3 linked regions of the Bombyx mori genome follow. The main gene of each other region encodes a partner of the protein of the gene in region 3 in a complex. Links are inferred from orthologs where the notes say so. Each region holds a gene or a part of one and is shown on either strand. Other genes may lie near its edges.

Region 1 (4,303 bases), on a different chromosome or scaffold from region 3:
TATTACATATAAACAAACATACACAACACGCTTAAAATAAAAGTGTATAAGAGTAAGACAATTTTTTTTTTATTGCCTTTGTGGGCAGACGGGCATACGGCCCACCTGATGGTGAGTAGTTACCGTCGCCCATGGACTTCAGCAATGCCAGGGGCAGAGCCAAACCGCTGCCTACAATAAATGAAATGCAAATTGAACAAGTACTTTTTATTTATATGATTTTTGTCAGGTGATGATCTTTAAATCGTTTTCTAGTTACTACATTTGAATTATGTAAATAATGAAAATATTATACGTACCTCAGTAAAGATTTTTTATCTTTTATTTTATAAACCGGTTTGAAGTTAAACTTTCCATCCGGAGAGCATTCGATTTTAGGATTGCTCTGTAGGGCTTCTGTTTGTAGCCACTTGAAAATGTTTACAGCAGGTTATAAAAGAGAAATCAATTAAAATAGAATATTATTTATAAAAAGCATTTTAATCAATTTGGGTGTTGTGGTACTTGTGTGCTGGGGTATAATAATACTGTAATTAATGCCATCATTTTCCTAAAGTAATTACTCATGATTATTTTTATACATTATGTAGATACAGTTAGTGTTAATAGGGTGTCTTGTGAGCATGCAGGGGTAGATATAACCACACTGCCTATTTCTTTACTGAAGCATAAGCAATATAAAAGTGAGATTTAGAACTCATGTCTATATACTCCAGTAACTGCTTAACACCAGGTGGTTCGTGAGCACATTAGACTTAGTAATAAAATAAAAATTGCATTTATCATCAGCTATAAGAAAATGTGTGTGTTGTTGTAATTATTATTGAGGTAATTTATTTATTATTTCAATACTTATTAAAAGATACCTGTTTTATTTTATTTCCGACATCCAATTGATTTGTCTCATCTAAAATCTCATCTAAAGACAGTGGATGGTCATCTCCATCTTGATGCCTTGCTCTCATATGCCGTACAATACGCGCTAGCACACCAAAGCGATAGGACGAGCTGCCAGTCATAGTCTTGTAACTGAAAAGGATGATGATCAATCACAGATTTAACCAATAATTATAATATAACAAAAAATAATATTATTAGTGTTTGCTTATTGATCTAAATTCGACCATAATCATTGACACCTCAAGGTTTAGATTCAATTTAGTATTAAATTTTCCCTTTTGTTTCGTTACTTAGTGATATAAAAAAAAATCTAGAACTGTTTTCTGATAACACAAAAGCTCTTTAATAGCTACTAAATTAAATAAAAGGGAGAGTTGTCAAACAGAGAAAGAACTGGTATCTATATGCTCTATCTCAATATTTTATCCATTGTAGCACTAAATATGATCAATTCTTTTTTATATATTTTATAAGATTTTAGCAAATACACTAAATGATAAATTATTTTTTTAACAATAAAAAGCTCGCTACATATAGCCTGTATCAAGGCTATCATAATATAAATTTTCGAATTCCAAATAAATCCTGTGTTTTTTATTTTTCATAATTTTTTTTCCAAAGGCTTTTTCTAATTTTTTTTATTCAAAAGTTGATATTGCTATAAAAAGTTTATTAGTATTATTTAATAGAATTGGCGATTAAAATTACCTATAAAGCATAATAAATTATGGGAAGCAATGGTACTGATGTCATGAATAGATATTGCTGATATAGTAATTTGACCTAGTCAAAAGATAAAACTAAATGTGATTTCTAGTTTATTAATGAAAATAGCATTAGTAAATGATGCACATATTTGTTTATGCGGAACACAGTAACTATGTAAATTCAATAGTTATTTTGATAACAGAATATTTTAAATTATTAATTATGTTGCCCTAGCCTTTACTTACTTACTAGCATCAAGCTTTGGTCCGGAGCTGACTGAGCTGGATGATTTCGATTTCTTTTTGCTGTCATCTTTGAATTCAGAGTCATCCCTTTTCTTTTTTTCAATGCTGAAGAGAAAAGAATAATACTTTATTAATTTTGTTTCGTTCTAATTTGACAGTAACCTTTCGATGGGTTGAACTATAGCTCATGTAAAGTGTACTTTTATCAAGTGTGACTATGCTGGTATTCAAATACCATAGACCTGTATAATTTTTTCCACGGCAAAACATTTCTAACACGTTTTCATAAATGGATTATAAGATGAAGTAGCATTTTAGATAAAAATCATGTTTCAAAACAATTGGTGACATTCACATTATATCTAGGGGCTCAGGTAATCACTTAACATAATGTGGGCTGTCAGCTTGATCAGATTCTTTGAAAAAATTCATTACTTTAAATTAAATGAAACATTTTCCATTGTATTCTAATTTACCTAGGGCATGCCAGTCAATATAATCTTTAAAAAAATAGGGCCTGTGCCTTGATCATATTTATCTAGAATATTGGCTGCTATTAAATTAGGAAAGATATTATATCTTATTAACATTTAAATCTTCTACTTTTCTCTGCACAAGTGATTTGTTCACATTTCTACTCATTTAGTATTTCGAAACACATATTTCCATTCATAACTTTATATAATGACTCAGTAATGAATATTGCCACAAGGAAGTGAATTGATAGTAATTGTATGGGCTACGTGAGTGACAGAGAAAGTGTGCGATGGATGCCAGTATGTCTCCAATCATTGTTGTGGACTAGCGAATAGTTTAGTTAAAAATAATGTAACAGACCTCGGGGTCGCAAGTGCCTTCTTTTTAAACGCTTCCCGTTCCCGTAAGAGCGCCGGGTCCATATTTTCGTCTTTTAAACACAATCACTAAAAGTACGTATCAATTGTATTAGTATTTTGTTTAATTGCTGTTGTAATGTAGTCTATTTTCCACTTCCAAATCCTGTTTCTTTAAAATCCGGTTTGAGCAATTTGACATGTGACATATGACCATCTTTGACAAATGACGTGAGGGAGTTCATATAGAGTCCCTTCTTTATTTCGCCTGGTTGTGTTTTATGTAATTAACACCACAGTTGGAACAATATAAATTTTATTGTTGTAGCGGCATAAAGTAATTACATTAAATTGGTTATTATCACATTATAAATTATTTTTGTTTTTCATATTTTGGCGGTAAAAAGGTATTGTCACAGACTATATTCTTTTTCCCACATCTCGTGCGTTCCGGCTTACGCATAATAAAACGCCACACCACCCCCCTACGGAGAAGGAGAATCCGCAGAAAAAGAGAAAAAAATATCATAGGTCGAAAGGTTTGGAGAAGTGGACTCTGCGACCTGATCGGGTGGTATATTGAGGTGTATGCGTAGGAGTAGCAGTTAGAGGTGCCGAAGGCACGAGTGGACATGAAGGGACATTAGTAGCATCCGGTTGCGCTGGTTGAGGCACAGAAACCCGCGGTGCTGGTGCTGGAACGAGATCTACTAAAGAATGCTCGACGAAAGCTGGCTTAATTCTGTCGACACTGACCGTCACCTGTTTCCCTTTTACATCAATCGACCACGTTTTTCCGTCCTCGGCTCTAGATATAACTCTATGAGGACCAGAGTAAGGTGGTTGCATTGAACGTCTAACCGAATCCTCCCTGAGCATTACATGAGAGGCGGTGGAAAGATTTTTAAATATGAAAGGTGATGGTTTAGTGTGTGAGGAACATGGAGTGGGACGCAATTTAGACATACGCTGTCTTAACTTTACGACAAAATCCGTCGGGTCCTCGAAGCCAGAAGGACCGGGAGGTACTAACAGTTCCCCTGGAAGCGTTAATGTTTCTCCGTAAAGCAATTCCGCTACTGTTGCTTGTAGATCTTCTTTAAAAGCCGAACGCATTCCTAATAAGACCAAAGGTAATGCATTCAACCACGAATCATCATAACACATCAGAGAGGCCTTTAATTGTCTATGCATGCGCTCCACGAGCCCATTGGCACAAGGGTGGTAACTAGTAGTGCGTATACGTTTAGTACCACATAAATTAGTAAGGCGTCTGAAAAGGTCCGACTCGAACTGTCGTCCCTGGTCGGTAGTGATGACAGCAGGTACTCCGAATCGAGCAATCCAACCGGCTACAAAGGTGCTCGCCACTTCTTCTGCTGTTATTCCGTGCATAGGCCAAACTTCGGGCCATCGAGTGTAGCGATCCACAGCAGTCAGGCAGTATTGGAAGTCAGAACAAGATGGAAGAGGGCCTATGATGTCAATATGGACATGCTTCAGTCGAGACGTAGGACTGGAGAAGTGTCCAAGTGGAGATTTTATATGCCGCGTCACCTTACTTCGCTGGCAAGCAACGCAGGTTTGGCACCAATAACGGCAATCTTTGGCAATGCC
Region 2 (3,552 bases), on a different chromosome or scaffold from region 3:
AGAGTACAAACCACACCAAAAGACATCTGGGCACAACCAAAACCACAGACTATAAAACTGGATTTTGGCAAAGTCAAAAAGGATTGAATTTCAATTATAAAAGAAATTGATAATTGAAGTGTGTGACGAGCTGATAATGAGCAATAATGAAATGTGGATTGGCCGTAACAAGTAAAAAGCAATTAAAACAAGTCTCATAACAATAAAATTTTTGTAACTAGTCTTAACCTACTCTAGTTTTTTTTGGTACATGAAAAAATCACTCTTATTTAGTTTATATAGTTTCAAGGCTTTAACGATTCAGAATATTAATAAGCTGACAAAAACCTGCACCCACGCACTCGTATACAAACCTCAATTGATGCAGATTATAAAAGAAGCAAACAGCAGGTCATTTTTCAAATGTTAGAGCTTACAATAATTTTGGCTATTAAATATACAGTAGAGATAGAATTTCTTCACAAATAGACAGAAGGAACCAATGTCCTAGGCTTTGAGACTTTGACCAGTTAAAATAAATACTGTGTTAAACTTTCCATTGACAATGGGAGGCATGTAAATCAAGAGCCTTTGTGCGGTGATTAATATAGGTATGAAAGAAAAACTCTAATATCTTAAAAAATTTATGTCAATTATAGATTTTTATTTTTAATTGTGTTTTTTAAAAAATATTTCATTATTTTTCTAATGGGGAATAATTCAAGAGTTTTTCAATGAGATCCACGTGTCCGAGCAACATTCTTCTGCAGCAGTATCTTTTCAATCCAAGGACATCCAAAGCATCACTGAAAGTAAAAAAATACAATTAAATATTAACATTCACATAGTAAATCTACTGTATACAGTACGCTTAACTGACTTCGATGATTACCAGTAATCTATCACTATCAAGAGAATCTTATGCCTATAAACACATTAAAAAAGGTATAAGAATACTCAAAGCTAACAAGCATTAACAATCTTATTTCATTGCTGCAGTTGGTAGTAATGATTATATCAACTCGGGCCACTTTTTACATAGCTTACTTGTCTAGTAGGATATCATCTTACATTTATCACTTATATGCTTCCGTTTCCTCACACTCAAACTGGATATTGCAAAACAGTCCAGAGATTAATCTGGTGTCAAGATCTACCATCATTACCACCTCATTCCCGATCCTGCGGACAGAATGGAAAGCAGTCGACGTCGCCCTAAACACGTCATCTCGGATCCTCCTGATCCACTAACGGTGCTTTTAGGTACTTCAAGCACCGGTCACCGTTCTCGTCGAACCCGTCGCTTGCGACGAAGGGCTCGACGAGTAAATTAATTCTCAGACACAGCCCACTGAGTTTCTCGCCGGATCTTCTCAGTGGGTCGCGTTTCCGATCCGGTGGTAGATTCTGCGAAGCACGACTCTTGCTAGGGTTCGTGTTAGCAACATCGTCAGGTTTGAGCCCCGTGAGCTCACCTACTAAAGTTAAGGCTACGCTGAAATAGCCGCTAGGGCTATCAGCTTAGGTAGGAAAAAAAAAAAAAAAAAAAAAAAAAAAAAATTACCACCTTGTGACCTATGGATTATGATAACCACTTTAAGATAGGTGGGCTGTAAGTATGAGTTGGCAAATAAGAAAAACCCAAGTTAACAGGAATCACCTACATATTCCGTCATTTGAATTCATAAGAACATTAATATTGTTTCTGGGAGGAGCTGTTTTATCTTTCTTGCTGAATTTTTATCAAATAACTACATTATATTATGTATGTCAGTTATTTCCATTTTAAAGTTCTAGAATATTGGTAAGTATAAAAACCAGTTGCAAAACTTAAATTGTACAGTACCCTTCTGTGTAATCCGCCTGTAGCAGGCCTAAGTAAGCTTCCCATTTGTTTCCTATAACCTTCCCGCATGTGAAACATCGTACTGGAATAATCATTTTGTTTATTTCCTACAACCTAAAGTTGTGGTGAGGCACTGGGGTTATAAAGTATCAATGCTTTAACTATTTATTTGGTTTATAAAACGTATTTACTTTTAATAATAATAGAAGATATTTTAGTTACAAAGTATCATTAAATTTAATGAGAAAACACTGTAATTCTATTCTTTACAATTCACAATAATATTATTTTACTTCGAGATAAAAACTTTTTAGACTCGCAACGACAGTCATAGATTACATATTGTATTGTCTATGACTTATGATTAAAGATGACAGTGTCACAAGAAAATATGATATTTTTGTTTGTCGATTTCAATCGGCAAAAGGAATGTAGTCTATAGAACCAAATTTTAATGTTTTATTTTTAAAACATTTTAAAACATTGAATGAATGTTCATTTCATTTGAATGGTACATAATTATTTTTTAAATTTCCAAACTGACTTTTAGTGGTTGGATTTTAGAGAGTAAGATATGCTCCTTTTTAACGTTTGAGTGAAATTGATTGACGCATATTTGGAGCAGTCTACTTATTATTAGAATATTTTAATAAGTAATCAAGAAATTTTCTAAGCCAGTCTCTTAAAAAATGTGAAATGTATGGTTTTCTCTATTATTTCAGGTTAAAATGACTTTATCCCTGCAGCAACATATCAGTATTGATGACAGTCAAATGGTACGTAGCATTTCATTTGTGATCATCGGCAAATTTTCAATGTAAATAAATCAAGTTAAAACAACCATTCATTCCGTACATTAAGGCATGGGAGAGCATATCGAATTTGTGAAATCTCAAAAGTCCAAAGTTAATTATTTTATTTTGTAAATTTAATATTTCATCAGATCTACATGTGTAATGAGAGTGAATTGTGAACCGTTTGGAATATGTGAAAATGCAAAAGTTTGGGAAAATGAAAGACGAACGTCAGTCATAGCTTCTCGTATTCTTCCAAAATATGCATTAGGCTGTCAGTTGCTTAATAATAAGTTACTGCGATATTTATTTAATTTCATGTAATTCAAGTCCTATGATGTTGTTGTTGTTAAGTATATTTCATTTTCTCCTTCAGTGTTATCTGCTTCGTCTCAATATAGGAATCGACTCATTGCAATGCTGCGCTGCATAAAAATATGTTCTAAATACATTTCCAGCTGCTTTACTCCATTTTCTCATACTTGTGTACTATAACAAATGTTTTACGGTTAATAAACCATTATTTTAAGCTTTAAAGTCTGAAGAAACCCTAAATTAACTACAACGTACAATTTCCATTCGGTCTCATACAATTATTCAGTTTATTCGTTCCAGTTCACCTTTGACTGATGATTGGCTTCAGCTTAAATTACAAAACATTTTACTGTATGCGTCCCATTTCCTTTGCCTGTACTATATGAACGAATCAATAAAAATGATATTTTGACAATTGACATTAGATTATTAAAAGAAATACAACAAACAAGGGGGTTTTGTAATTTTTTGGTGATAATTTTTCTTACTTTTCTGTTGTATTTTGAATTATTTACAATTTCAAAGGTCTGGCCTTAGCGTTAATTCGGATATAATAGTGAAAAATATCTGACAGTGCAGTTATCAGGCAATTTTGCAGTATGAAATTTTAAATTTATT
Region 3 (4,203 bases):
TTCCATCAAAGTCAAGATTTTTTTCAATTAAAGGTAACCTCATTAAATTACAACTTCATACATAGCTTTCGATGTCACTCTGCCCTAAACGATAAGATGCCAGATGTACTCATATTAAACAGTATTATTATAGCAATGTTTAAACCCAGCGGTTAGGTGCCAATTTTAGTAATGAACTTTGTAATTAAACATGTTTATAAATGACTTTCACAATAAATAATTAATGAAATCTGATAATACTGATGGGTGGCACATACATTGTGATGTCTGTTGACTCCAGTAACCTAATCACATACACCAGGGGTGGGTATTAAGCTCTTCCACTCAACTAAGCAATAAAATATATCTCTTATTTAGGATAAATGAGACAGTGTGAAATAGTGTCTGGAGTTTCTTACTTACTAGCAATGCAAGGTCGTTTTTTAATTAATTGAGAGCAAAGTAATAATAAATGAAGTTTTCACGAATGTTTACTCATCATTTGACTTACTTGGTAGGAGTCCAATTTCTTATTTGTTGGTGATCATGTTAGTTGAGTCACCAAATAGTCAATAATTAGTTCAAAAGAAAATGTTTAGACAGCACATAAAACAGAAGTGGCCATAACAAAATCTATTAAGATAATATTTTATATTTTAACTTTTACAGGAACTAGAAAAAATAGCACCAAAAGAAAAGGGTATTACAATGCAATCAGTTAAAGAAGTGATTCAGAGTCTAATTGATGATCACCTGGTTGATTCTGAAAAAATTGGGACTTCAGTGTACTTTTGGTCTTTCCCAAGGTACTATGTTAAACAACTAACTAAATAACTGGGAACAGAACAGTACATTATCATCTGGCGTCAAATCTGGCCTATTTCTGCCATTAAGCAGTTATTTATTTCGGTTTGAAGGGTGTTAGGTCATCATGCTGTTACAACTGAGACCTTAGAAATCTTGTCTCAAGGCAGGTGGCAGCATTTATGTTGTAATGTCTATGGGCTTCGGTTACCATGTAAAACCAGGTGGACTCATGTAAGCAGTAAAGCTGAATGAATAAATTTTTGCCCAATATGGGAATCGAATCCACAACTTTCGGCAGTCAGGGGTGCCAACTTTTGCACCACCGAGTCAGTCATTGACTAAGACTAGTTTTATTATTTTGAATAATAAAATTTACATGGACTTTACACACTGATGCTATGAGAAATTAAGAGTAAACAATTGTGCTTTTTAAAAATTTATGACTGCAAAATTATTTTTCAAATCAAGCAAGCTGTGGTAATGCCATGCAAACATTAAATAAATTACTTGTAGCAAAGCAAAAAGTACCAAGAAGAGGAAGCTACAAGAACTCCAGAATGAATTTGATGAATGTACGAAGAAGTTAAAGAAAACTGAGGAAGTCCTTATAGCAGAATCGGTCAGAATATTTATAGTTTTTTACTTAGTATAGTATAGTCTATAGAGTTATAATGAAACTTAATTCTATTCTATATTTATCAGAGACTGATATATTTATTAATTGACTTTAATATTAGAAAGGCAGAGAGATATCTGAAGAAAGAATAAAAATATTATCATCTTTAGAAGATCTTCAAAAGCAAGAGGCTTCATATAAGAGAGAATTACAAAAATACAGAGAATCTGATCCTGAATATATTGCACAACTGAGACGTGAAATAACTGTAAATCCAATTCTTATATTAATGTAGATGAGATGATGTCTTAAGGTCTATATTCCATTCAAGCTCATATTAGCGCCCCACTGTGAGCGCAATAGATAAGGCCAATGTCCCAAGTTTAAGGATTTAGTAATTGATGAATCAGTTCATGGCCTTTCTATAGTAGTATAGTATTTAGTGTTTCTGAAGTGTTAAGTAAGTTACTGAAGTTGATAGGTATCACAATGTGACTTCTGCTACCCACTTTAATATTGCACACATTAGATCAGTTACTATTATATTTCATAAAGGCCAAGTGAACTGATCAAACTGGAATGTGTATATTTTTTTTGGCAGATGTAGGCAGAATGACAAAACTGTATGAGCTTACAACTGGTAATGACTTTTAAGTCTAACATGTCTATTTCATGCTAGAAAATATATATTTTATTATTTGGTGGGTAATATTACTCAATATAACTTATCAGTATATTAATTAAGCATTGTATTCATTATTTAAAAATAAGGAAAACAAAGTACATTTAAAAAAATACTATGTTTTGATAAATAGCTTTCTGTAGGTGGTAGTATGTATAACCAAAGACATAACTATAATATTATCAAATAATAATATTGGATTAAAAATGTTTCATTTTGTAGGAATTGAAAACAGCCAGCAACAGATGGACAGAAAATGTATATATATTGAAATCTTATATAAAAAATAGTTTTCAAATAGATATTGATGCACTAGAAGAAAATTTTAACATACCTAAAGATATGGATTACATTGAATGAAGTTTTATATACAAGGCATTCCTCATAACCTAGGCCCAGAACATTAAATTTAAGTATGGGAAAAACCAAAGAAGAAATTCTTTGGCAAGTTAATATATTGTACGTAGTAAATTGATTAACTGATGTAATTTAAAATTCAAATCATTAAAGCACATTGTAACGATTCTAACTTTATCTGTAAGTTTGCATATGTAAAAGTAATATTTGTGAGAAATAAAAATAATAAATACCATTCAACGAGGACACCTTTCATTACATTCACCATGGTTCATTGTTTTAGAACTTGTCACTTTATGTAATAATTAATTGTAAATAAAGTATGTAGGTACCTATTTACTCCCTACTTTCAGTAGATACCATAGGTTATACAGAATACTATTACTATTATAAACTATTATTCATAGACTATACACTTAATATCTATTATTTATGGGTAAGTGTGGAAGGCTCATTACACTTTGCTAAATTTAGTCGGTGTAATAGCATTCAGTAAGTTAACCTGCTAAATTCAGTAGCAAGGATGGTTTCTGACTGACTAAATCATTTAGAAGCCTAATTAGAAACGCATATAAGAAGGTGTAATCGCATTTAGTTACTTAATGATTTCAGTCGTCCCATAGCTCTCCGTGCGTAAGGACGGCTTAGTTTGTTTTTTACTTCCGAATAAAAAGTATTTATTTCGCTCACCTTTATTAAATGTGCCAAACATTTATAAATAGCCCAACTTGTTTCAGGGATAATTTTTGTCAGAAGGGGTTGGGATATTATAAAGAACTAAAAATTAAATCTTGATACGAATTTCCTGTTGCAAGAAATCTTAATGTTACAACCAATCTTTCTTTTGGACTTATACTATCGTAGGATTAGATATGTAATAGTTATATAATATAGATATATAATAGACTATAGTAGTATCGTAGGATAGTATCCTGCTTTTGAAAAAAATTGTGCCACAAGGCTTAATATTTGGTCAAACGACCTCGAATCCATTCGTAGATCATTTCTGAAGTCTGCTGGTTCTAAATCATTCTTTTTTTTTTTTTTTTTTTTTTTTTTTTTTCCTGCCTAAGCTGAGAGCCTTGAGAGGCTATATCAGCGTAACCCTAACTTTTGTAGGTGAGCTCACGGGGCTCAAACCTGACGATGTTGCTAACACGAACCCTAGCAAGAGCCGTGCTTCGCAGAATCTACCACCGGATCGGAAACGCGACCCACTGAGAAGATCCGGCGAGAAACTCAGTGGGCTGTGTCTAAGAGTTAATTTACTCGTCGAGCCCTTCGTCGCAAGCGACGGGTTCGACGAGAACGGTGACCGGTGCTTGAAGTACCTAAAAGCACCGTTAGTGGATCGGGAGGATCCGAGATGACGTGTTTTGGGCGACGTCGACTGCTTTCCATTCTGTCCGCAGGATCGGGAATGTAGTTACCGGCGGCCACGATGAGAGGGTTCTCGTGTCGTGCCGCTTTATCGAAGTGGCGCATTGACGCCGACTGCATATACTTACTGGTGGACTCGAAGTCCAGGTCGTCATGGAGGTCGACGTTCCTGACGAACCACGGGGCTCCGACGGCTATCCTGCAAAAACGGGATTGAATGACTTGGAATGATTTCAAGTGTATGCGGGCCGCGTGAGCGAACACTACACTTGCATAGGTCATGACGGGGCGTATGCAAGTTTTGTAGAGTGTCACCTTATTTCTAAGGGACATTTTACTTCTCCTACATATCATCGGATAGATAAATCACTCATAATGTTCA

The links.
Region 1: general transcription factor IIH subunit 5 (region 3) and general transcription factor IIE subunit 2 share a complex: the UniProt entries of both Homo sapiens proteins name them as parts of the TBP-based Pol II pre-initiation complex. The link is inferred for Bombyx mori from reciprocal best matches to the Homo sapiens genes GTF2H5 and GTF2E2.
Region 2: general transcription factor IIH subunit 5 (region 3) and DNA-directed RNA polymerases I, II, and III subunit RPABC5 share a complex: the UniProt entries of both Homo sapiens proteins name them as parts of the TBP-based Pol II pre-initiation complex. The link is inferred for Bombyx mori from reciprocal best matches to the Homo sapiens genes GTF2H5 and POLR2L.

Annotation. Positions count from the first base shown.
Region 1 is NC_085118.1:15,266,840-15,271,142, reverse strand, and holds the start of general transcription factor IIE subunit 2, read right to left. Parts: upstream 2,897-4,303; 5' UTR 2,753-2,896; coding exon 2,691-2,752; exon of another isoform or gene 2,687-2,690; intron 1,959-2,686; coding exon 1,854-1,958; intron 1,030-1,853; coding exon 867-1,029; intron 410-866; coding exon 300-409; intron 1-299. UniProt on the Homo sapiens protein: Recruits TFIIH to the initiation complex and stimulates the RNA polymerase II C-terminal domain kinase and DNA-dependent ATPase activities of TFIIH. Both TFIIH and TFIIE are required for promoter clearance by RNA polymerase.
Region 2 is NC_085133.1:5,484,881-5,488,432, reverse strand, and holds DNA-directed RNA polymerases I, II, and III subunit RPABC5, read right to left. Parts: upstream 2,198-3,552; 5' UTR 1,921-2,197; coding exon 1,826-1,920; intron 786-1,825; coding exon 677-785; 3' UTR 611-676; downstream 1-610. UniProt on the Homo sapiens protein: DNA-dependent RNA polymerase catalyzes the transcription of DNA into RNA using the four ribonucleoside triphosphates as substrates.
Region 3 is NC_085109.1:11,979,496-11,983,698, reverse strand, and holds the start of general transcription factor IIH subunit 5, read right to left. Parts: upstream 2,837-4,203; 5' UTR 2,710-2,836; coding exon 2,675-2,709; exon of another isoform or gene 2,445-2,674; coding exon of another isoform or gene 2,307-2,444; intron 1,671-2,306; coding exon of another isoform or gene 1,524-1,670; intron 1,406-1,523; coding exon of another isoform or gene 1,300-1,405; intron 786-1,299; coding exon of another isoform or gene 649-785; intron 34-648; coding exon of another isoform or gene 1-33. Other genes in the region: meiotic nuclear division protein 1 homolog, read left to right, coding at 1-33, 649-785, 1,300-1,405, 1,524-1,670, 2,307-2,444. UniProt on the Homo sapiens protein: Component of the general transcription and DNA repair factor IIH (TFIIH) core complex, which is involved in general and transcription-coupled nucleotide excision repair (NER) of damaged DNA and, when complexed to CAK, in RNA transcription by RNA polymerase II.